Diceros bicornis minor: one gene and its partners. The protein of the gene in region 1 purifies or fractionates together with the protein of each later gene. This does not show direct contact. Links are inferred from orthologs where the notes say so. Each region holds a gene or a part of one and is shown on either strand. Other genes may lie near its edges. The genes, in order: PPP1R10, PPP1CB and TOX4.

Region 1 (7,700 bases):
TTTTAGAAGGGAAGGAAAAAAAAAATTCAAAAAAGGTGGCTCTTTGGAAAAAAGAAATGAAGGTTGTGAAATGTAATACCAGAAAGGGTTTGCTTACCAGAAACCGTAGCTTGATTCCCCCTGCCTTGAGTTTACAACTGCCGCCTCCTTTCCTAAAGATTCACTTCTCATCCTAGTACCAATGTACAGGAGCTAAGCAACTGGAGAACGTGATACAGCACTGAACACAAAGAGTTTATCCCCAAACCCAGAGGCGGGAATAAGGGCCATTTAGAAGAAAAGTCCTCAAGAACCCACCCTCCCCCAGATTCTCATTATACAAAGCGACCAAATGCAGGAGGCCCAAGGACTGGTTCCTGAGCAGAAATGGGACATTCCAGTGTCATTAGGCCCCATTTGTCTATTCAAGTTATCCTTTCACAAGCTCGTGTCTTTCCCCAGTATCCCCAACACACATATATACATACACACACGCTCACACACTCCCCAAAAAGGCTCCCCGGTCTTAAAGGATAGTTGGTTTGACGGGCTTTCCACCCCTGGCAACTGAAGCAGGGAAAACTTCCAAGCAGTTGTGATGAGTGAAAAGAGAAAATAAATGCAACAGGCTCTGATTATTAAACATAAAAACTAGAGCTGCCCAAGGAGATGGACAGCCTCAAGACCTAATTCCTATAAGCTTTTTTCCTTTTAAGATAAAGGCTATAAAATATTCTAAAGAAAATAAGGAAAAAGTCTTTTCCTATCTAGCAGCAGCGTGCACAGGGAAATCAATCCAGAAGGCATCTGCTCAGGGGTGGAGTTTCAAGAGGGTGGAGAGAAGAGGAAGCAAGCTGATTACATCACCTTTCAAGGCTGCTCCTCCCCCTTGACCAAGTTTCTAGGGCGGCCCTAAGCTCTGGATGGCAAAAGGGGGAGAAAAACAACAAAGAAGCAGGGACGCCATTTTGTAATGAAGAAGAGGAAAAGATAAAAAGCTGTCCGGGCTCTGCCGGGAGCTAGTTACATTAAAAAACACCCTTTTTTAGTAAAAAAACAAAAACCAGCCCCCAATCCTGAATGGTCTGACCTATTTGGAGTCAGTAAGAGCGTTGTGAAAATAAAAGCAATTAAAATATTAAAAGAACAATTTTCTGCGGGGAAGAATTGAATTTGCAATTGAGGTTCAACCTGCTACCACCGACCACCCCCATCCTTCCTATAAAGGGAAAGGGGGAGGACTTGGACCCCTCTCATCAAATAGGGTCGAGGTGGGAGGACAGGAGAAAAATGGGTCAACACACAACCTGCGACGCCGCCGCTTGGAAGACAAAAGGACAAGGAAAGTCGCCATATTGAAGCAGGGAAGAAAAAAATTCCTTTTAACGACACAAATCTTTTAGAAAGCTAGCATTCAATTGCACTAAATGGCTTTTAAAATTATTCTCCTGAATTCCACATTTCCCAACCTTTCCACCCGCTATTTAACTGTATCCCCCCACCAAAAAGTATCAAGTTAAAATGTTAACCACTTTTTGCTTTTAAATAACCTACGCAATCTGCAACAATTATAAAACATTCTTTACCTCCCCAAGTATTATCTTGTATGTACTGCCACTAAGATTATATTTTGCCCTGAATTAAGTGTCTTGCAATCTTTATTCCTAGATTGCCACCTATTTTAAGCACACAAATATACCCCAAGCAAATTACATTAAAATTGAGAGGATTTAACAATCATTTTAAGTCATAGCCAGCTATTATTTCTCTGCCCATCTCCTTACCCTGCAATCTTTATGTACAGATTGCTTATTAATCTGGCAAATTGAAAGGCGCCCTGCTTGTCTCACACACAAAGAAGTGGGACTTCTGGGCCTCAAGATCCACCATCTTTTGTATGTGAGCTCATTAACCCTTTTGAAGACTGCTAACGAGAGGAAGGTAACCATTCCTCTTTATAAAAAGCAAACACTTATGGCTTTGGCAGTCTGGAAATTGGCTGGATTACCAAGGGTTAACCATCAAAATCCTCATTTGCTGGCCCTCCCTCCACGCTCTCCTTGCCTGCAGCAGGGCAGGAAGAGGTAGGTGGTAGGGGAAAGAGATCAAGACTGTTTAGACCCAAAGGCCCTTTTTAATGGAGATAGAGTGACCGGCTTGGTCCTTCTCCAGTTCTCTATTTTGTTCTACGGTCTCATTTCTTCCTCTCATTATTTTTGGTTTCACAACGGGAAACGTTGATTTCTTGTTGCAAGGCTGGTTTTTGAAAATTCGACACTTACTATCCAATTTTTTTGCGACGTCAGCACCTCGGGCTCAGGGGGAAGGGGATTAAAATTTTGGAGAAAAAAAATAAAACAACCAACCAGGACCCAAAACTCAATTATTTGGGGGCCTCATTGGATCAAAAAGTCTCTTAAAAAAATAAAGGCCAACTCAGTATTCATTTCCCCCCCAACCCAACTCCATTTAGGGAGGGGGGTCGTAGAAAAAAAGTTCTGAGTGGATTCAAAAAAGTAAACGCTGGTTGAGTGAATTTGGGCGGGTTTGGGAAGGGAGGGTGGTTGATTATTTTTGAAGTTATGTGGTGACGGTCCTTCGGCCACAGATTTCAAGTCCCAAGCAGCGTGGGCTGGTGGGGTGGGCAAGATAGATGGGAAGGGGCAGAAGACACAAGTGGTTGGGCTGGTGGCTGCTGTTTTCCCTTTCCCCCCTCTCTCAGGATCCTTTCAAGGGCTTAGATGTTGCTGCGGCTTGTTTCTTTTTTCCTCGCGGGCAGCCTGTCTTTCTCCGAGAAAATTCAAACCTAGGATAAAAGGAACACAAAGGAGAAAGATGTAATCAGTACGGCTTGCTTTTAAACACCCAAAAGTTCCATCTTTGTTATCCCCAAACACCTCCAGATCCCATCACGAACACAGCCGCTTCATATAAACCATGGCTCTCAACTGAACCCATGCCTGACCCGTTTCCCAGCGCAACGCTCTCCGCAAAATCTTACCCCCTAACCGACAACACACCAAAACTTACCTCTAAACGAACCCCAGAATGGCGGCTGCCCGCTCGGGCGGAGTCTTTTATACCCGGACGCCGCCCAACGCGCCTAAACGTGCTAGTGAAACGCCCTTGTCGCGCGACATTGTGCGCGAGGCGTGAATTCATTGGTCAACGAAAAAGACAACTCTCTAGCTGATTGGCTATCCTTCCTTCGCCTTCGCTCAGCCCCTTCCCCCCAGCACCTTCTTCCGCCTCCTTCCTGGCACCCACCGCGTGCGCGTGATCGCAGAGCCGAGCCCCTCCCTTTCCTCTCCTTCCACCACTTCCGCCCTCGAGACATTTCTCACCCTGGGTTGGTAGAACCGGGCCGGCGCATGCGCACTGAGACGATCTCGGTCCAAATCGCCTTCAAAATTGTTTAAAAGGCAAATTCTAAGAATGAGATCTAAGAGTCATAGTGACCGGTTCAGCAAAAACGCAATTTTGAGGCCGAATTCGATTGTGACGCAGTTGAAATTGGCTTCTCCCCACAGCCCCCCTGCCACGCTTCCGTCCTGACGCAAGTGCGCGGCCTCGCCCCGCACTGCGGGCTTGTCCTTGCCCCTACCCTAGTCAGTTTCCTGGAGCATGCGCAGTCGCCCTTCGGGCCATTCCTGCTTTGGGAGTACGTCAAGATGGCGGCCTCCATATTGAATACGCTCCTGAGGCGCGTCCCTAGCCTTTCGCCCTTCAGAGGCGCCTACGGAGTTCAGGTAACTCCTTGGAGCACGCTTTGTACAACCCCAACTTAGTTATTATCTTCTCTAGGTTATCGCTCCACTGCTGGGAATCCAGGAGTGGAGACCTTCCCCAGTGCTTGGGCCTCGGCTGTCTAGGCAACACTTTGCTTCCACCACTCTCTCCCTTTCTCTCACCCTCCTCGATGCTGCGCGCATTTTCTAATCCCGAGCCGAGGGTAAAGAGCCAGGGTTAGATGTCATCTTCTTCCCAAGTTACCATCTCGGCTGAATAACTAGGTGAAAATATGGACCCGTTGGTCATGCACAACCAGCTCTTAAACGTGCAGTTGGTGTCTAAACCTGTGATGTCCTGGAGTGTCCTTGGGTTGAGGGACACGAACTTCTACCAGCCCTGCTATCTCCGAATAAAACCAGGATACATTCTCACGACCTGGGGACCAGTTTCTTAGCTCTCTTTATCTCACTAAGTCACTCTCTTATCAGAGTATCCATGAGAGCTTAACTCAGTCCTTTGGATTGAGGTTTCCCTCCAGTCTCACGTACTCACCACCCTGGAGGTTCTTGGTAGGACAGGGCAGGTTCTTGGTGGGGCAGGGTGAGAAAGGAAGGCTTGCCCACTGCCACTCCCAAAGTGGACTGAAGAGTGGTGACAGGGGTCACCACGGAGTTAATAACAGGCCTGGTAGCTTTAAAGCTGGCGTTAGGACTCAAGTTTGTTCTGCTCTGTGGAATGTTGACCTATTTTTTATAAGGCTGGGCAACTCAGTGATTCGGGTTTGAATTGAGTTGAAGACACCCGGCCTCTGTATCCCCTCCCTGCCACACATCTTACCTCCAAGAAGCTAGGCATTCTCCCTTTTGCTCCACTAGACTCAGTTCATCCCCCAAAACATGAATACCTTACATGTGTCAGGTTTTTCAATTGTCTTCTCAAATAAGGTTGTCTCCCAGTCAGTTATCCTAGTTAGCCCTTAACATTAGCTTCTTTTTCAGGATCCAGATAGGGAGAGTGGTCCTTGATGATGTCAATTTAACACTAACAAAAATGCTACCTTCCATGTATATTCCTGCTGTGTTCCATTAACACAATGGGCGTGCATTCCCCTTTTCCCCAAGGTTTAGGCAGCAAAACAATCAAGTGCCTTCCTTGAACTTATTCTATTTTTCGCACTCTTTTTGTAGGTTCTCCGCCAGACTCTTTGCACCGAAGCCCCCCGTGAGGAAGATTCTGTGTCCCCGGTTCCCATTTCCCCTTACCAGAATGAACCCTGGAAATATCTGGACTCAGAAGGTACCTCTAAATGGGGAAGGGGGGAGTCACATGGGGTCTGAAATAAATGGACAAAGATGCCTTCTCCACCTCCACCCAGGAATTCCTTGTGTGGTCTTTCATTTCAGAATACCAGAACCGCTATGGTTCTCGCCCGGTCTGGGCTGACTACCGCCGCAATCACAAAGGTGGAATACCGCCACAGCGGACACGAAAGACATGCATTGTAAGTTTCTGGGGGTGGCACATGGATGGGATGGGGTGTAGAGGTGGAGGCCATAGTGACAGTGACAGCAGCACTTTTTCTGACAGAGCTTTGAACATCTTCACCTGCCAGTTTCTTCTCTCTACAGCGTGGAAATAAAGTTGCTGGGAATCCCTGCCCTATCTGCCGGGATCACAAGCTGCACGTCGACTTTAGGGTAAGGAGACGTTTTTCTGCAGGATAAGGATTTGGAGCCTCTTTTCAATGCTGAAGAGATTACGATAGGTGCCCACTCTTCTTCGTATCTTAGTGCCTGTACAATCCATTTTGTACTGACTTTCTGGCAATATAAAAAATCTTTCCCTCCATCCTTTTGTCACCTACTGTGGGTTATACTAAAAAGCTTCATCCCGGGGCCGGCCCGGTGGCGTAGCGGTTAAGTGTGCGCGCCCCGCTGCTGGTGGATGCTAGGTTCGGATCCCAGGTGCGCACCGAGGTACTGCTTGTCAGGCCATGCTGTGGTGGCATCCCATATAAAGTAGAGGAAAATAAGCACAGATGTTAGCTCAGGGCCAGTCTTCCTCAGCAAAAAGAAGAGGATTGGCATGGATGTTAGCTCAGGGCTGATCTTCCTCAAAAAAAAAAAGAAAAAGCTTCATCCTTTACCTATGGAATTTACAGTTTGAATTGGCAGGCAGGAAAAATGCCTATTTCTAATGGGAAAGCAACGCCCAAAGGTTCATTTACATCCATCACAATTATTAGCAAGTAGATCGGGCTAGTTTTTTCCTGAGGTTTTCTTTTATTTCTTTGTCATGTTGATGTTTGTTGTGTCCTGAGAGTTGGGGCTGGGGACAGATACATGAAGCAAGGTATAGAGTCTAGGGTTTTTTCCAAAAAGTCTTCATTGTGAGGACAGCACTTGCTCCTTAAAGAATTCAAAAACCTTATAAAAATGATAATGGGAAAAGTGCTCTTCTGAGCACGTAGTAAAGGTGTTAGAGCAGAAGTTGAATGTCTGGTCATCAGGAAAGTTGGAGGGCATGCATGTGTCAGTCGGCCTATGGGGGTGTCTGACTACTCTCAGACCCCTTGGGACACAGGTTGTAGAGAGGTCCAGTAGATAACTTCTCGATTTCAACTTTGTACGATTGGTTATAAAAAGAGATTATACCCAGTTGAATACAGTTTATAATCAATTGCATAGCTGAGAGAGAAAAAGATTACAACTTGAATAGTGTAGATGATTCTGCCTGCCATTCTACTCCACAAGTGTACCTGCTTTTTCCTTGGGTCTCACCTCCTGTAATGAACTTGGTAGCTGAGAGTCATTCTACATAATTACAACTGTAGAATTGATCCTAATAAATACATATATTACATACAGCATGTTATCATATGCATTAATCATTTATACGTGAACATTACAATATATATTACATTTTCTGGGTGATTTTAGGAATTGCCAGCTGACTGTCCCCAATTTTTTGCAAGAAGGGCTGATTTTAGATCCTAACCCCTGCAGAAGAGAATTCTATGTGAGTCTCAGTGACAAAATGTAGGGTGTACATGTGAAATGGGTGAAAGGCCAGGAAAGGGGGAAAGTTTGCTGGAGTTTTCAAGAATGTGTTCAGTCAAGTGATGGGGCTAAAACTGGGAGGTAAAGGAGGGTAGCATCTGGAGAGACATAGAGGGGTTAGGGTCATCGTGTGGGTGTGTAGGGATTGTGCGCTTTCAGTCTCTAAAGGCCTTGCTGGGCCGGCCCCGTGGCTTGGCGGTTAAGTGCACGCGCTCTGCTGCTGGCGGCCTGGGTTCGGATCCCGGGCGCGCACCGATGCACCGCTTCTCTGGCCATACTGAGGCTATGTCCCACATACAGCAACTGGAGGGATGTACAACTATGACATACAACTACCTAGGGGCTTTGGGGGGAAAAATAAATAAATAAATAAAATTATAAAGGCCTTGCTGCTCTCCCCTCCCTCTCTCATGTTTCTCCACTACTCTCCCCCACAGAATGTGAAGCTCTTGGAACAGTTTGTCTGTGCCCACACGGGCATCATCTTCCATGCTCCATACACAGGTTAGCCCATGATCCCTGTCACCACCAGAGTAGCTTTTCCTTGGAGCAGTTCTCATTTATTCCTTCAGACAACAGGTATTTGTTTGGTGGCTCCTACTTACGGCATAAAAAGTGTGATTGAACCTTTTGGAATTCTGGGCTTAATGGGGATACTCACATGGTAACATGTGGACAAAAGATACAGGCAGGTACAAATGTAAGCAAACGGTTTAACTGAGGCTCTTAAAACATAAATGGTGGTGATTATTTCCTTTCTATAGGATCTCTTCACTTTTACGAAAGGCTTTCTCAAAAACTGACTGTCACATGAGTTCTTTTATACCACTGACAATTCAATTAGATTTCCCAAATTTGGAATTGTAATCTTAACAATTCAAGATTATATCTATTCCTTAACTACGACCACAGGCAGGATCTAGCTCACTC
Region 2 (8,276 bases), on another chromosome or scaffold:
AATATTTTTCACAGCTCACAGACACGTTTGGTTTTAGTTTTAGGAGATCCATGCCACTAATTTTAATGTGGTCTTAGGAGAGAGCTACTCATTTCATAACTACATTAGAAAACTTAATAATGCTTTGTTTGTTTTATTTACCAAAACCAATTGAAACAGAGGCTTATGAAACCATTCAGAAATAAACCCTTTCCAACTGAAAAGGTGACGCATGCATAATTTGGATATGCTCTATGAGGAGAGCAACCATCATTAGAAATGAAACATTTAAATTGTTTTATTCGAAACAAACCTTCACATTTTGTATACTTTTCTTCACCAACACACATAGTTATTTCCTGGTATCTTGTTTGAATGAGCAGTATGGGAGAGCACTGAAAGAGAAACAATCTCACACATGTAGATGACACGGTTTTATTGTAACAAACTAGGAGTGACCCAAATAGACAGCTGGCCCTGTAATCTAATTAGAAGAAAAAAAGAAGGGCCACAGACCAACTCTTCAAAAATTAAATAGTCATCGTTTGAGGTAGCTGCCCATCCAACTTTAATTGCCTTATAGTTAACAGTTCTACACAGCCAGTTAATTCCTTCAATTACTAGGCATTTATTTTGCAATCCTTTTATCTTGAAGGATATACTAGAGAATTAGTTTAAGAAACAACGCTCCACTGCTCCACTGACAGTTTGTGTGTGTGTGCTGGGGGATCAGAATGGGGGGTGGGGTGGGGGTGGGGGGAGAGTGACCAAGGGCAGGGGAAGAGACATTTGCTTCTACCTGGCTTTCTAATTTGGGGGGCTAAAATGACTGAGGACATGCCTTACAACTTAGCCGATAACTTTGGCGCTTGATTATTCTCTCAAGTATGTATTGAAATGAAACCAAAACTAAATCTTAAGGAAAAATCTTGGCCTCGCCTGAGTGTACCACCTAGCCCTGGCTCTGTATTGAGAGGGGTGGCCTCCTACTGATGCATGTGTCTTTGACTGGTTTCTCAATATCATCGAATTAAACCAACTACAAAAGCATATGACATTTGATATAGAGAATGGCTGATCTCAAGGTATATCCAGTAAAATTTACTGCCACTTAAGATTTATTAAAGACTTGATTAAGAGGGATCACACTTATGGAAGAACAACCCAATGAATGTCGATTCATTCATTTACAAGCTACCTTGGATTAGTCAGGGCAGCAGAGAGTTATATATCACTATCACAACCTCCACATTTTGCTACCTAAACCTACTGATTTTCACAATATATTGGCTATTGGTCAACATTGAGAGGCATGTAAAACATCCCTGTGAATGTCTGTGCTGTGTTTACTAAAAGGAATCATGAGGCTGCTGTACATTGTGTTCCAAAGTGCCTTCTTTGAGGACAATTCATAGAGATATCTCTCTGTTCTCAGCACAGAGATGGTTGGGTTCCTCTGAATACTGGTCTGCCTTTATCTAATGGTCACTGGTATGTCCCAGGCATTTCCTCTTAGTAAGTACAAATAAGACCATGATTTTATTAAGACCCAAAATCATGATTCCCCAAGACTCTTGCAATCAGGAAGTCCAATTTCCCTTCACAGACATTTCTGGAATTACCCAAGGATATTGACATTTGTGACCCAAATGTCTCCCTAAGCCCAGTGGTGTGCTGGTAAATGTTTAACAACCAGCTCTCTGGTGGAAAAAGCTATAGATTTATAGCATTTGCTAATTTCTTTGGTGTGACTACTCCCACTGTGGCCAATATGACGTCACTGAACATGGAGCTGGAAAGAGATGCATAGTAGCATATCATTATGTAGTATTTCCACCATACAGATATAATAGATGTAAAAAACCTCTAGACTATACATAATAATAAAATGTAGCAATATAAATCGGATATGATGAATTTTGAGTTATCATTACCTTTGTTCCTTTGTTTTTAGTATAATTTATTTGAAAGTATATAATTTAGTTATTAAACAATGGCTCTGTTTAACAACTGGCTTGCAAAATTCCTGCAAGTTTAACAATTGGCTCTCCTGAGCCAGTGTAAGCTGGCTCCAGGACACCACTACCTAAAGCCCCACTGGGTTGGGAGTCCCAGCTAACAGTTTGCCCTTTGGTCTGTTAGATTAACAATCCTGGTCTAACAAGGAGCAAGCCCTTAGCCTGATTCCTTTCCTGAGTCTTGCTACACATCCATAAAGAGTGACAGGCAGTTTCCTACATGCAATCAGAACCACTACTTGCCACTCCTCTGTTCCAAAGTCTGCTGGTCTCCAGGCTTGGGTGCTCTACAGGGCTGCTGCCCACCACAGTGCCTGGTCCAACCAATGTCTCCTACACCACTGGCAGCCTTCTTATGTCTCTGCTTCCAAGGTGCTAGCTTCCCCAAATGGTGACCTCCACTCTGCCCCCAGGCCACTGCTCATACTCAGGCCAAGAGCCTCCTCAATGTCAGCATCTGCCAAATGGGGCTTCCCTCTCCTTGGTACCCACCTACTCTTGAACCTCATGGTGGCTCCCACTGCCTCTATTGCTGCTGCTGTCTATAGCACTGTCAACTCCAGCCTCCAGATCTCCCCTCTTACTTCTTCCTCTGTCCTCAATCTCCTATCCACATTTTTTTTTTTTTGAGGAAGATCAGCCCTGAGCTAACATCCATGCTAATCCTCCTCTTTTTTTGCTGAGGAAGACCGGCTCTGAGCTAACATCTATTGCCAATCTTCCTCCTTTTTTTTTTTTCCCAAAGCCCCAGTAGATAGTTGTATGTCATAGTTGCACATCCTTCTAGTTGCTGTATGTGGGACGTGGCCTCAGCATGGCCGGAGAAGCGGTGCGTCGGTGCGCGCCCGGGATCCGAACCCGGGCCGCCAGTAGCGGAGCACGTGCACTTAACTGCTAAGCCATGAGGCCGGCCCCTCCTATCCACATTTTAAAGTCCAAAGAAAATTTGAAAACTGAGTGTCATGTAAATGTGGCACCAAAACTCATTGAACAAAGTAGGATAAGATGCAAGTGATGCATAATCTCAATTTTATAAAATAGGTGTGTGTGTGTGTGTGGATATATATATATATATATTTTTTTTTCCCCCCAGAAATAAGACAGGAAAGTGGTTATCTATGGATGCTGAAATTACAGGTGATTTTTATATTTTTTTCTTTGTTTTCCAAATTTCCTTCAATCAACACATTTTATTCTGAAAAAAAAGGCTACGTTAATGGCAAATTTGACCTAAACTGATATGAGGCATAATGTAGTCTTTATTTATCTTACATGATGTGAATATTCATGATTTCTTTAAAAAAATTAACGTTTCAGACTATAGTGAGCTGCCCCAGAAGCTGCTGGGGTGTTAAGTAATATAGAGTACATGCACCTCTTAAACTTCAAAATCTGAAGAATTCTGAATCTGAATTCTTATATAATTTTGGAGGGGGATTCCCACAGAAAAGTTGGTTGGGCCCCTAGTGATATAGCTCTTTCATTTTTATAACAGCCGTTTCTTTCCCAGGATTCCAAGGCACCAGAAAACCTGGTTGGGGGTGGAGAAGGGGACATCCGCAGGCAGTACTCAGAACCACTCTCCAATATATGCTGACTCCCAGAACTTGCTGAGTCTGGCCTCTCTCTGCCCCATTCGTGGTGATTTTCTCTCAGATGCTCATTTTCTTTGCGCAGTCCAGTTTCCTTTGGGTGTCCCTTGTCCATTAAATATATCTGCATATATTCGAACCTTAATTGTGGACAGGGTTCAAAGTTCTTTTTCATGGGATTCATGGGCCCCATGAAAACTGAAGGATAAGCAGACACCTATTTAAGTGTTCCCAAGCATTATGTTGCTCTTTAAGAGGCTCATGGAAGAGCCTTGGGAAAGTGGCATCTAACTCCACAATCTGATGTCTTCACGTCCCAGTTCCAGCTCAGCCAGAACACCTACCCCACTTGCAACCCATCTTTTCCTTGATTGCCAGAACGCTTAGAATCATATCTGTGGCCTATGCCTAGCAAACGATGCATTTTACATACAAAACTGCTGGTTTTATCTTACCTTTCCCACGCTGTTTTCTTTTGTCCTATTTTTCTCTGTACTTATTTTTAATTTATCCTACTGCATTTATTTACGTAAGCTACCTTAAACTCCTTCTTCTGAAATAAAGCAGAGTATAAATAAATGTTCTTTAACAGAGTAGACGGAGACGTAATGATGCCAGCCCGAAGGTACCTGAATACCCGATGACATCAGTAAGATATATATGAAAGCGCTAAACAGAAGGCAGAGAGTGGTATCCCCGTAAAATATTACTATTGCTAACCCTTCCAGGGCCCACTTGAACTTATTTCATCCAAGGACACTTGGACAACTAGCCTTGTGGAACGGTAGGGTATAAAACCCCTTATTTGCAACGTCAGATGTTTCCAGCAAAGGAACCCCTTCTTGCTTTTCAAACGCGCAAACCCGGGTTTCAAACATGAGTAACACAGTCCGCGTTTCCCGTTTAACGGAAACAGGAGGAATTGCTTGCAAAACCAGGGAATAAAGCCAAGAAAAGTAAAGCGAGGCGGGAAACGCACAACTACTGCGTCTGCACAGCGCCCCAACAGAGGCCGCTGGGAACCCGGAAGAGCAGCACAACCTAAGCGCGCTCTGCGTAATGGGAACTTCCTCGGCGCAGCAAACCCGGGGAGCCTCTTGGGCGCCTGCGCGCTGCGGCGATTCGGCGCAGTGAAAGGGGCGAGAGAGGGCGACGCACCTGCGCAAAGGGGGCGGCGGCGGGCGAACCGAGTCCAGTGCGGTTGCGCGAAAGCCGGGGCGTGCGGGGGGGGGGTGAGGGCCGTGGAGGAGTTCGCCGTGCGCCTGCGCGGAGGTCTGCGTGGCGCGGTGGCGGGGAAGGGCGGTGTGGAGTGAGTGGCCCTGCGGGTGGGGCCGTCGGCGGCGCTGGTGAGCTTTGCGGAGTTGGGCGGTGCCGAGGAGGAGGAGGTGGCGGCTGGGTCTGACGCGGCCCGGTTCGTGGGGGCTCCGCTTGTTTATTTATTTATTTCTCGAGTGTGCCTCCGAGTGTGCGCGCGCTCACTACTTGGTGGGGAGGGGGTGGGGGGAGGGCCCCGGGGCAAAGGGGGAGTTGGAGCCGGGGTCGAAACGACGCGTGACTTGTAGGTGAGGGAACGCCGAGCCATCGCCGCAGCCTCCGCCGCCGAGAAGCCCTTGTTCCCGCTGCCGGGAAGGAGCGTCTGGTGCCGACAAGATGGCGGATGGGGAGCTGAACGTGGACAGTCTCATCACCCGATTGCTGGAGGGTGAGTGCGGGGCCCGGCCGGCCGCAGGGGGGCCGCCTGCCTCGGTCCTCGTTCCCGCTCCGCCGCCGACATCCGAGGGGACCCCCTTTCCCGCCCCAAGGCGGCCTCCGAGGAGGGGGCGAAGAGGCCGGCTGGTCGGGGGAGCGGCCTCCGGGAACGCGGTCGGGGGGAGGCAGGGCGAGAGGGGCTGTCCCTGCAGGTGGCCGGGCGGGCAGTGCCCCCGCGGACCTTCGGCGACCGGGCCGGCGGCGCGCCAGCCGGGGGGTGCTCGGAGCCCCTTCCCAAGGAGGGCGCCGGGATGCGTGCTCCTGTGCGTTGTGTGTGCGTGGAACGTGTATTTCTCTCTGTTCTCTTTGTGCATTGCCCTTGGCTGTCTTGGATTCTTGTTCCGGGAGTGAATTTTATAAAAACCTGCTTGAGACGATTGCTTGATCTAGTGTTCTACGTTTTCATATGATGCTATAGGACGAACTCTATTTAAGGAGAGGATAACATTAGCGGGAGTTAAGTACCTCCCATTTGTTGTTTAGCTTAAAAAAATAGTAAAACAAAAGTCGTTGAGCTGAAGATGCACGCAAGAACTGTGAAATATGTAGATACGTTTGCTGAAGGGATTGGCTTTCCGGCTTGAGAATTGAACAGGTTTCAGCAGGATTTAATTTCTGCACGAACTTAGAAAAGATCTGTTGTAAAGATTCTCGTGTTTAAAAGGTATTTACAAGTCTTCGCAGCTTTTGAAGTTTACAGGCTCTTCTGTTTTTGTTGAACAGTTTTATGTTGGGTTAGGGGATTGAGGGAAAGCGAAGAGATCTCGGAGAGGCCAGGATATTATTCAAAGTTAATCGCGGTCTTCTGCCAGTGAATCCCCGTACCCTAAAATTTGCGTCATCACTAATTGCTTTGTGAGTGTGTAGAAAAGAAATTAAGCCTTTACATTTAGAATCCTCTCTGTCAGGAACCAGCGAAGGATTGCATATGCAGTAACTGTTATTACTTCCTTTCAGATTACCTGAAGGTAATTGTTTACTACAGTGAAGCAGTCTGTAGTTACATTTGGAAAATCATCAAAGAAGATTGTATGATTGGGAGTGGGGGGAGGGCGCTAGTTCCTTTTTTCAACCAGTATGTCGATATCTCATCGGTTCTGTATGTACCCATTGTGTAACAAACTACAGTTTATTTGCTCCAGATGTGAAAGCCTTCCAGCAGTCTAAGACTGAATGAGAAGCAAAGTTTCATCGGGAAGTCTTATTTACCTTTTCCTTTACTATCAAGTTATTCCTGGGAGGCCCCCTGGTGCCTGCAGTCAGTGTTCACTACTTAAGACTTTGTGGACTTTAACAGATGTGCACATCTTGCTGGGTCTGTGAGACATTTGCTTTGACAAAAATTGTATTTTGTAATTGTGCCTTGTTGAAAGAGGAAAATATAGCTATTTAAGAACTTTAATGTCTTGTTAACTCTTGGGGAAGTTTAGGCCCATCACCATTTTTATACATTTTAAAATTGGCTTGTAAATTTAAATATTTTAAAAATTTAATGTTTTTATATCAACTTCTTCACTTTTATTTTCCATATACTTACATATTTATATACTTCATAGGAATAAAATGGTAGATTTATGTATTTCGAAATGGTTGATCTGGAACTTTTTAAGTCAAACGTACTTGTTTTTTTTCCCCTTTGTGAGGGAGATCAGCCCTGAGCTAACATCCGATGCTGATCCTCCTCTTTTTTGCTGAGGAAGATTGTTCCTGGGCTAACATCCGTGCCCATCTTCCTCTACTTTATCTGCGGCTCCGCCACAGCATGGCCTGACAAGCAGTGCATCCATGCGCGCCCTGGATCCGAACCCTCGAACCCTGGGGCTGCGGAAGCAGAGCTAGAGCACTTAACCACTTGCACCACCGGGCTGGCCCCTAAACGTATTTTTTTGTGATTATAGATATGTCAGAAGCTTCACTAGTGGATTGTTCAAGGTTATTGGAAAAAAGATATGGTAGGAAAAATAGGCTGAGTGAGTGATTCCATTTCTTTTTGTGAACTCAAATTGAACGTTTGGTTTTGGACAATCTTTTTTCCTTCTTTTGGTGAGAATTCTAGTCCAGACATTTTCCCCTTTTAAATTACCAAGCATTTATTGACCTGCTTTGTGCCAGTCACCAGGAATCCAAAGATAAGACACAATCTCTTTACTCAAGGAGCTCCCAGTCTAAACAAGTGATTTTCAGGCTTTCCTAGCCTCCTCTCTGTTTATGTGTTCAACACACTCCCATCAGTAAAGAATTTCATTACTTGCTTCTTAATCCCAGGAAGTACATTTAGTTTGACAGTGCCTCTCTGGGGTTCTTAAATTCTCCAGGCTCCTCTCCTTCCCCCCTTCAAAATTTAGACCCATTCCAAAACAGACTTTGATTTTCTAATAAGTATTTTTAGTCTTCAAATAAAAATTTTTTTGTCTGCCTTGATTTTCAGTGATGTTACATGCTAATTAAATTTAACTCAAATTCAACTGGTGGCATTTTGTAAAGCTGCCTAGCAGAATAGCTACAGTTAATTTTTTTTTTTTTTTTTGTAGTATTAAAGGAACTTACAACTTAAAATTTGGCCAGAATTTCTCTCCATTGGGGGAAAAAATCAGCAGGACTGGATCTCATTTTAAAATGTTGATTGTAGTTCCACAGCATATTCTTGATTCTTTTTTCTTATATCAAATTGCCAATCAGCTATAACACTTTTAGTAACTACATTTTATGAGTTGCTTTGTGTTTTTCTTTTTAGGTGGGCGTATCATTGGTGTAATATTTTCAAAATGCCTTTAGAACATTTTTAAAATTTTGTTACTTTTAATGCAAAATAATATCCTAATTTATTGTTTGGGTAGTGCATATTCTTCTAGTATATTTTCTTTGGTTATGTTTTACTTAGAACTAAAAGCCAAGGATGTCTGCCACTCTATCCTCTGTAGTGACCCTGCTACCCCAT
Region 3 (7,851 bases), on another chromosome or scaffold:
AATACCCTCATGGTAATCCCTAAACATTTTCATGTAGGATGGTTTTGGGAGTAAGGAAGTAGGGTCAACAAAGTGGGAAGCCAAGGTGGGGAAGCTACCTCTAATGGGCAGGAGGACAAGGCTGACAAGAGAGAAATGATCAGGCTTACCCAGAAAGTGGCAGACAAGACAATTCCTACATTATAGGTAGGAATCTCTTAATAATTTCAAAATAGAAAACTCCAATATTCTGAAACATGGTATCTTTTTACGATTCAACAAAAATTAGTATAATTTCAAAACAATTATTAAAAGAGAGCAGACAAGAACTAGATCAGTTGCATTACAAGTGACTATCAGGCCATGTGGTTCTTCACATGTGGTTCCATGTGTGTCAATAGAGCAGTGGCTCTCAACTTTCTTATTTCATGATCCAATCATGTCTCATACTATCACTTAAGGAAAAAAAAAAGCCAGCAAGCCAAAACTTAAGACACTTCCATGACCATGACCATACCACTAACTGGCAGCTATTAGGTCTCCTAGCATCAAAGCATCCATTTTTGGAAATGGTAGAGGTTTAGGTTAAAAAGGCAGAATCTAGCTAATACCTGTCTTGACACCTACAGGCTTCACTCTTTGTCACCTCCTCAGAATTTGTCCTGTGGCCTCTTTAGGTAGCCAAATCTACCTTTGTGGGAAATATAAAAACCAGGGGATAATAAAAGGAGCGTTGTAATATCTACTTGGATTAATACTAACAAAGAACCCCTGGGCCCCAATAATGAAAATGGAAGGGAACAAGCTGTTTAGAAGTGAGTTTGGAAGTTTTAGAGGGATCTGGCTAGTGCTACCATTATCAGAGATGTGAAGTGATTCATGTTCCTACAATGTGGTGAGATGAAAAATCTGATCAGAGCCAGCTCTGATGGCCCAGTGGTTAAAGTTTGGCGTGCTCCACTTCAGCAGCCTGGGTTCAGTTCCCGGGCGTGGAACCACACTACTCGTCTGTCAGTAGTCATGCTGTGGCAGCGGCTTGCACAGAAGAACAAGAATGACTTACAACTAGAATATACAACTATGTACTGGGGCTTTGGGGAGGGATTCTATGCAGTGGTTAAAAGGAATGAGGTAGATCTGTATGTATTGACATGAAAATGTCTAAAGACAGGGACCAAGTCTTAAATCATAGAGATTGTTAAATAAAAAAACCTAAGTCACACAGATAGGTCCACTTTGCCATGATTCTATACGTGAAAAAACTAACAGAAACAAAACCATACCATATATCTGTATATGTTTAAATGTATGTATCTAAATGCAGAGAAAAAGTCTGAAAGCATAAACACTGAATCAGTAATAGTGGTTTACTCTGGCAAAGCAAAAACCAAGATTGGGAGGGACAAGAGGTTTGTGTGTGTGAGGGGGACATTCAATTTTTACTCTATACACTTATATTATTTGCTTTTATTTTTAGTAGAACAAACTCATATATATTACTTGGGTAATTTAAAACAAAAATAAAAAGATAACGGCAGTCAGAATCTGCAAGCATAACAAATGGAAGGGAAAGCTTCCCTACCTCTTTGCTTTCATCCTTCCCCTACTCTCATTTCCACCATGAGCCCCACCATCAGAGCCCTTTTCCCCTGCATCAGCCTTTACTGTTCTATTTGGGGCATAGTTGGGGACTAAATTATTTTGTCCTTTCTCACCGTATCCCAGATTTGCAGTTTGATTTGTTTTCCATCAATGTTGACCATACGGGCCCCAAACTCCACACCTGTCAGTGAAGATCAAGAGAAAGAATATGATTCTCATGAACAACAGCCATGTTGAGTGAGAGGTTCATGCTTTTCCTCAATGCGCTAATGACGCTCTGTCTGCACTCAGTGCCACTAAGCCCATTACTACTGCCTACTTGTTCCAATTAATTCTGTGTTCCTTAAAGTTTCTTTTCCCTCCTAGAATTAAAAACAGTGTTCTGGGTGTTAATGACCTTAGGAATGTAACCAAAAAGCAGATACAGGGATAAAACTAAATAAGAAGCCAAATTTAGCAATGTTAGTTAATGCTTAGATTTGATTAGGTAATGTTTAATTTTGTAATTTCTAAAAACTTTAAAAATATTTCCTAACATTTTCTGAGTCACTCTGTAGTCCTCTATAAAACAGTATTTCTTTTTTGCAATTCTAGAATTTTTTGTTTGAGAAAAGAACCTATCTAAGAAATAGGTTCTCAAGACTGATACCTTTCAGATCTCCAATAATTCCCAGAGGTCATCGGAAAAGAGCCTCCATCATAGGAATATGGAAACATACAGTCTGAATAAAGGTTTTGGTTCACCTGGCATTTATCTTCTTTCAAGTTAATGTCAGGACAAAATTTAAAAATCAAATATCACTTGCATTAAAAATACTTGATCATAAATCAGAAAATTTGTCCTATTTTCTGTTCTTTACATAGTACTTGAGGAATTCTGATTTCCAAGTAAGAAAAAGCACTAATGTAGCTTCCAATAAAGGGTTGATATGTGCCTATTCGGTGGCCCCGTGTATAATATATCCAGAATGTCTCTCTCACCTCGAAGGTGCTGCAGTCAATAAGAAAGATATAAAAATTGTTTCTTACTACTCTAGACTGCTTCATCAAGAAGTGATAGCTACTGAAAAAAGTCACTAAATTTTTTCTTCTTTCTGGACAATGGGAATGGAATTTCAATGAGGAAGAATTAAAAACTAAAACTTTTGATTCCTTTTATGCAACTTCCTCTAGTTATGCACTCAGAGACCATTATATTTTGCACCTATTTTCTTTCCAACTGCCTGTTTATCTTGGTACAGAAGACTGAATTCAGAAAGAAACACAGCCTATATTGGACACTGGGGAAAACTTGGATCATTTCATTCCTCCGTTTTAAAGCTTGTCATTTGCTCCCATTACCTTCAGGTGTTTCAAGACTTGGCACCTTTTTTATTCTCTAGCTTTATTTTTTGCCACTCTCCACTTCAAACTCCATACTCCAGCCATATTAAAATGACTTTCAGTTTTCCAAAGTTAGCCTGATCTCTGCCATTCCCAAGCCTTGCATATGTTATTGCCTTTTGCCCTGATCACCTTTCCCTTATCTCTACACCTTTGCCTGGATAACTCCTACTCTTTCTTCAATTTTCAGCCTTTCCTGAGAGAGGTGGCAGCCTTTCTTTCCCTTCTGCAATAGGAATTTATTTGTCAGGATCTACTCCCAGCCCCACCTCCTACATTGGAAGACTGTAAACTACTGACCGGCAGGCACAATGTTTGCCTGGTTAAGCACTGTATCATTAGCACATATCACAGTGTGGGTGTTCACTTGATATTTATTTACAAAAACATTTTCCTGTTGATGCTATCCTCTAAATCCTTTTCTAACCCCATTAGTTATTTGGCTCTGAATAAGTCCTTTGGGAGCAGTAGCAGCTTCAGATTTCCAAAAGGTGGGACTTGAAGTGACAACATGGTAAAAATAAGAGCTAGGGATTTTGTTCAGAAACTGCATCTGCATGGCAAGAAGGCTAGTTTTATATACCTATACTCTTTATTTGGGCTGGGGTTACGCAGATTATGGGGAAGGGGTTAGTAAAGCCCCAGCAGGCCATGCCTTAACACAAATGCGTGGCACATGTTTACACTTTCCAAGATCACCAGTGCTTTTGGAACTCGACCATACTCTTTTTCTTTACAAGAAAAGTTGATAGTTTCATTCACTCTTTAATTCTAAGTCTGGGATGGCTCTTCAATTTGCTTTTTCCTCTCCAACACACAAAAAATTCCCTGTATTGGTGATTACTTTGAAAAACATGTGAGGTTAGCATTAATTTACTGCAAAGCCAATTTTTGAATAAGTAGTTATGCTTTCGTGGGATTTTCCATAAACACACAAATGGCATTTGGAGGGGAAAAAAAAAGTCCTACAGCTGTTGATCCATACCTCACGTTCATCTCTAAAGTTACCTTTCAATTATTTACACCCCACTACACTACCCATTTATCAGCATTTGGTTAGCCACTCTTCATTTAACATAACTTTGGACTAGTTTAAAAGTAGAAAGAGGTAACTTTTTACTTCGAACAATGAAGGCTCCTAACTTTCCCGTTTAGCTAGTCAGCCATTATTATCTGTTCTGGGACAGGTAGATGCACTTACCTATTGTGAGGTCGTGGACAGGCTGGAACCGCTTGTCTGTAAACTGCAGGAGGAGACATGACTTCCCCACGCCTGAAAGGGAAGAACGAGCGTTCCAGGAGTCACACCGGCTAAGGAACAGTCTCTGAGGCCGGCCGTCCGGGACTGGGGAAGGGGAGCCCCGAGCCCCGCCCCCGGCCGTCCCGCCCCGCCCCCGCCCGCTCTTCTCGAAATCGCCCAGCCCACTAAAGGAGCCCCGCCCCCACGACCCAATTTGGGAGCTTAGGATCCCCGCCCCAGCCTTGAGGGCAGCCGCCCGCGGGTTACCTGTGTCCCCGATGATGATGTACTTGAAGAGATAAGCATAAGTCATGGTCCCGTTTCCTCTGGATTCCGGGTCCGCCCGACTTCTACAGCCACTAACCTCCGGCCTCTCTAGCCACTCAATCTACCGATCTCCGGCCCCTCTAGCCCAGATCACGTCTCTATTGCTCTCCACAGAAATCTTCTCTCGGTCAGAGCGACGGTAATACCGAGACACGGCCTGCGGGGACGCCTCTAACACTTCTACGTGCCATGATACCACCAAGCTCCAGGGGGCGATAGCTAGCCTTTCCGTCCGCTCGGCCTTCCCGGGCCTGACTCGCAACAGCCCCACGGCGCTCCTTCCAATCAGCGCAGAGCGACGCACGTCTTTGCGGAAGTGACGGCGGTTTCGAGCCCTGTGGGGGCGGTGGGAGCGATGAGGGGACTGAGACCTTGGTAGCCGTTGTGTGAAGATGGAGGTAGGACGCTGAACGCTAAGAAGGCTGGCAAGAGAGCGCGGCCAACGCAGTTGAAGCGGAGGCGGGAAGCTGGGCGGAGAGGCGGCCGACGGGAGGGGCGAGAGAGCGGGGTTTGGGGAGTGTTGTCAGAATGTCGGGGTCAGAATCCGTCGCTCCGAGCTAAGTCCCTACTCCCCCTAACTTATCCCCGCGGCTTTCTTTTGGTTTCCAGTTTCCCGGAGGAAATGACAATTACCTGACGATCACAGGGCCCTCGCACCCCTTCCTGTCGGGGGCCGAGGTGAGCACGAGCTGCCGACGCTGTGGGGGGAGGGCGTGAGGCAGCGGTGGGGCAGGGTGGCGGGGAGGAGAGCGCGGACGCCGGGGACCGGGGGCTGGGAACCAGGGGCCGCGATTGGTGTGTAGGGAAAAGTGGCAGCTGCTTCTAGAGCCTATGAGGACTATGGGGAAGGCCCGGGAAGCTGCTGTCATCAGAAAAGCAGGACGTTGGAAGGAGCTAACCTATTTAAGAGAGAGAGTGGATCGGAAGGCAGAGTGGAATTGTCTCCTTTCGTTCGAGAGAAATAACTGCAACAATCTTGGGGGATCGCAGCTGGAAGAAATGTTTCAGCTGAAGAAATTGGGGTGAGGGGAGGAGTTTACCTAGCCGGGGTTAACTGTGGACATTTGTTCATTCTTGAACTCTGTTGAAGGGGTCTTTGTCTCACTTCAATTTCCTGCTCAGTGGTAAAAAGAAAAGTTATAGTTATGTTTACGTACATGGTGTTAGTTTTGCTAGTGACAGGATAAAAGGAGATAGTTGCTAGAAAACAGGAAGGGAGTTGAGTAGAACATGTGTTTCTGTGTGCCAGCGACTCAGAGTTTGGGCAGGTTACTTCACCTTTGTATGTCATAGTTTCCCCAGCTGTCAAATGGCTGTAATAATAGTTTTATTGTGATGTGAAATAGAAGTAATGGTTATGGTGAGGTCCTTTAGTATTCGTAGAAAAGTTTGGGTTGAAATATTGTCATAATATAGATATGTATTACTTACTTATAGGCAAAGAGAAAGATGGAACAGACAAAAATAAATTTCCTGGTCTTTGAGAAACTGTGAAGTCTTGAACTTGCTACTATCTTTTGAGGATTTTAATTTTCTTTTTAAGAAGTAGTGTGTACCATTTGCATAAGTTTTTTATACCAAGAATTCTCAATTGCTGTTGAATGGGCTTATCCTATAATAAATTTTAACGTTTTCATGAATGAGAATTAGATTGACAAGAGACAGTTGCTAGTTTTTTTTAACTTTTTTTAATTGTTATTATTATTCTCCTAAGCAGGGAAAAATATGAATCAAATGAGCAGCAAATTTAGAAATGTTATAAAACTAAAATCTGTTTGATGCTTTGCAGTCTCATTGCCAGTTTCTTCTGAGTGATATCTCTGTGGTTTAATTTCATTATTTGGAGCATAGTAAATCTCACATTGGCCTCATCCACATGCAAGTGCATCATTGCCAATTTCTTCTGAATCAGGTCTCCACAATTTAAATTTCTTTATTTAGACTGTTGTAAGTTTCACATTGGCCTCTTCAAGAAACTTTCTAGATTTGATTCTTTGTTTTTACTTCTATGACTTTGAGAAATTAAAAAACAAAACTGTTTTGCCAAGATGCTCATAACTAAATTTCAGTAGCTTCCTTTAGCCCAGGGCTTTGTCATTGTTAACAGTTCTCCTTCTCCTCATTACAACTTCTTCACCTTCCCTTTCCTTCTTGTTTTTTTTAACCTTTTTATTTTAATTAGTTTGTGGTTTTTGTCATATCTGTCTTACCGTGGGCCACCCCAAATATAACTTAGAACTAGGTAAAGGTAATATTTTTAAAGTTTTCTTTTAGGAGAAGAGTAATTTTAGAGTTTTCTTCTAAGAAAAAGATAGATGTCCATAAAAGTACTAACCATAAAAAAATTGAAAAATTGAACTTCATTGAAATGAGGAATTTCTTTTCATCAAAAGACATCATTAAAACATTAAATAGGCATGCCACGGACTGGGAGAAGATATTTTAATACATATATCTGACTCATTCAGAATATATCAAATACTTCTGCAGAATAAAAGAAAGAATCTAATTTAAAAATGGGCAAAAGATTTGAACACAAACTTCACAAGAGAGGATATCCAAATTACCATCAGGCATATGAAAAAGTGACATCATCACTCACTGGGGAAATGCCAATTAAAATCATAGCAAGACACCATTGCACATACATCAGAATAGTTAAAAGACTGACAATTCCAAGAGTTGACAAGGATGTAGATAACTCTTAATCATTGCTGGTGAGAGTGTAAATTGATTCAACCACTTTGGAAAATGGGCACTGTCTACTAAAGATAAACATATACCTAACTAGTAATTCCACTCCTTGATATATACATGAGAGAAGTGAGTGCATATAGTCTCCAAAAATGTGTATGGTCACAGCAACTTTATTCATAATAGCTGAATACTGGAAACAATCCAGATGTCTGTAAATTGGTACATGTGTAGAAAGGAATACTACACAGCAATAAAAAAGAACAAACTACAAATGAATGCAACTTGGATGATCTCAAAAATGTAGCGTTGAGTAGAAGAAGCCAGACATAAAAGAGTAGGCACTATATTCATTTTTTAATGAAGATCAAGAATAGACAACACTAAACTATGGTGATACGGTGCCGGAAGATGAGAGGATTGCGCAAAAATGGGCAGGTTTCCGCTCTGCTGTACCCAGGGTCGCTTGGAGTCAGAATCAACTTGGTGGCACTAACAACAACAAAACTGTGGTGATAGAAATCAGAATAGTTGTACCTGTTGTGGAAGGGAGGGAGTATTGACTGGGAAGGAGCATTTAGAGTGATAGAAATGTTCTGTATTTTTGATCTGGTGGTGGTTAATTG

Evidence for each region.
Region 2: the proteins of PPP1R10 (region 1) and PPP1CB purify together in Homo sapiens (affinity purification with mass spectrometry; 5 studies listed by BioGRID and IntAct, with this or other methods). This does not show direct contact. The link is inferred for Diceros bicornis minor from reciprocal best matches to the Homo sapiens genes PPP1R10 and PPP1CB.
Region 3: the proteins of PPP1R10 (region 1) and TOX4 purify together in Homo sapiens (affinity purification with mass spectrometry; 3 studies listed by BioGRID and IntAct, counting the BioPlex papers as one, with this or other methods). This does not show direct contact. The link is inferred for Diceros bicornis minor from reciprocal best matches to the Homo sapiens genes PPP1R10 and TOX4.

Annotation. Positions count from the first base shown.
Region 1 is NC_080753.1:34,473,372-34,481,071, reverse strand, and holds the start of PPP1R10 (serine/threonine-protein phosphatase 1 regulatory subunit 10), read right to left. Parts: upstream 3,532-7,700; 5' UTR 3,324-3,531; intron 3,142-3,323; exon of another isoform or gene 3,010-3,141; intron 2,994-3,009; exon of another isoform or gene 2,786-2,993; 5' UTR 2,262-2,785; exon of another isoform or gene 98-2,261; intron 1-97. Other genes in the region: MRPS18B (small ribosomal subunit protein mS40), read left to right, coding at 3,651-3,728, 4,899-5,007, 5,115-5,212, 5,340-5,408, 7,208-7,274.
Region 2 is NC_080751.1:54,244,550-54,252,825, reverse strand, and holds the start of PPP1CB (serine/threonine-protein phosphatase PP1-beta catalytic subunit), read left to right. Parts: upstream 1-4,844; 5' UTR 4,845-4,935; intron 4,936-5,151; 5' UTR 5,152-5,239; coding exon 5,240-5,291; intron 5,292-8,276. UniProt on the Homo sapiens protein: Protein phosphatase that associates with over 200 regulatory proteins to form highly specific holoenzymes which dephosphorylate hundreds of biological targets.
Region 3 is NC_080744.1:27,880,544-27,888,394, reverse strand, and holds the start of TOX4 (TOX high mobility group box family member 4), read left to right. Parts: upstream 1-4,851; 5' UTR 4,852-4,923; coding exon 4,924-4,929; intron 4,930-5,140; coding exon 5,141-5,209; intron 5,210-7,851. Other genes in the region: RAB2B (ras-related protein Rab-2B), read right to left, coding at 1,695-1,762, 4,166-4,237, 4,472-4,517. UniProt on the Homo sapiens protein: Transcription factor that modulates cell fate reprogramming from the somatic state to the pluripotent and neuronal fate. In liver, controls the expression of hormone-regulated gluconeogenic genes such as G6PC1 and PCK1.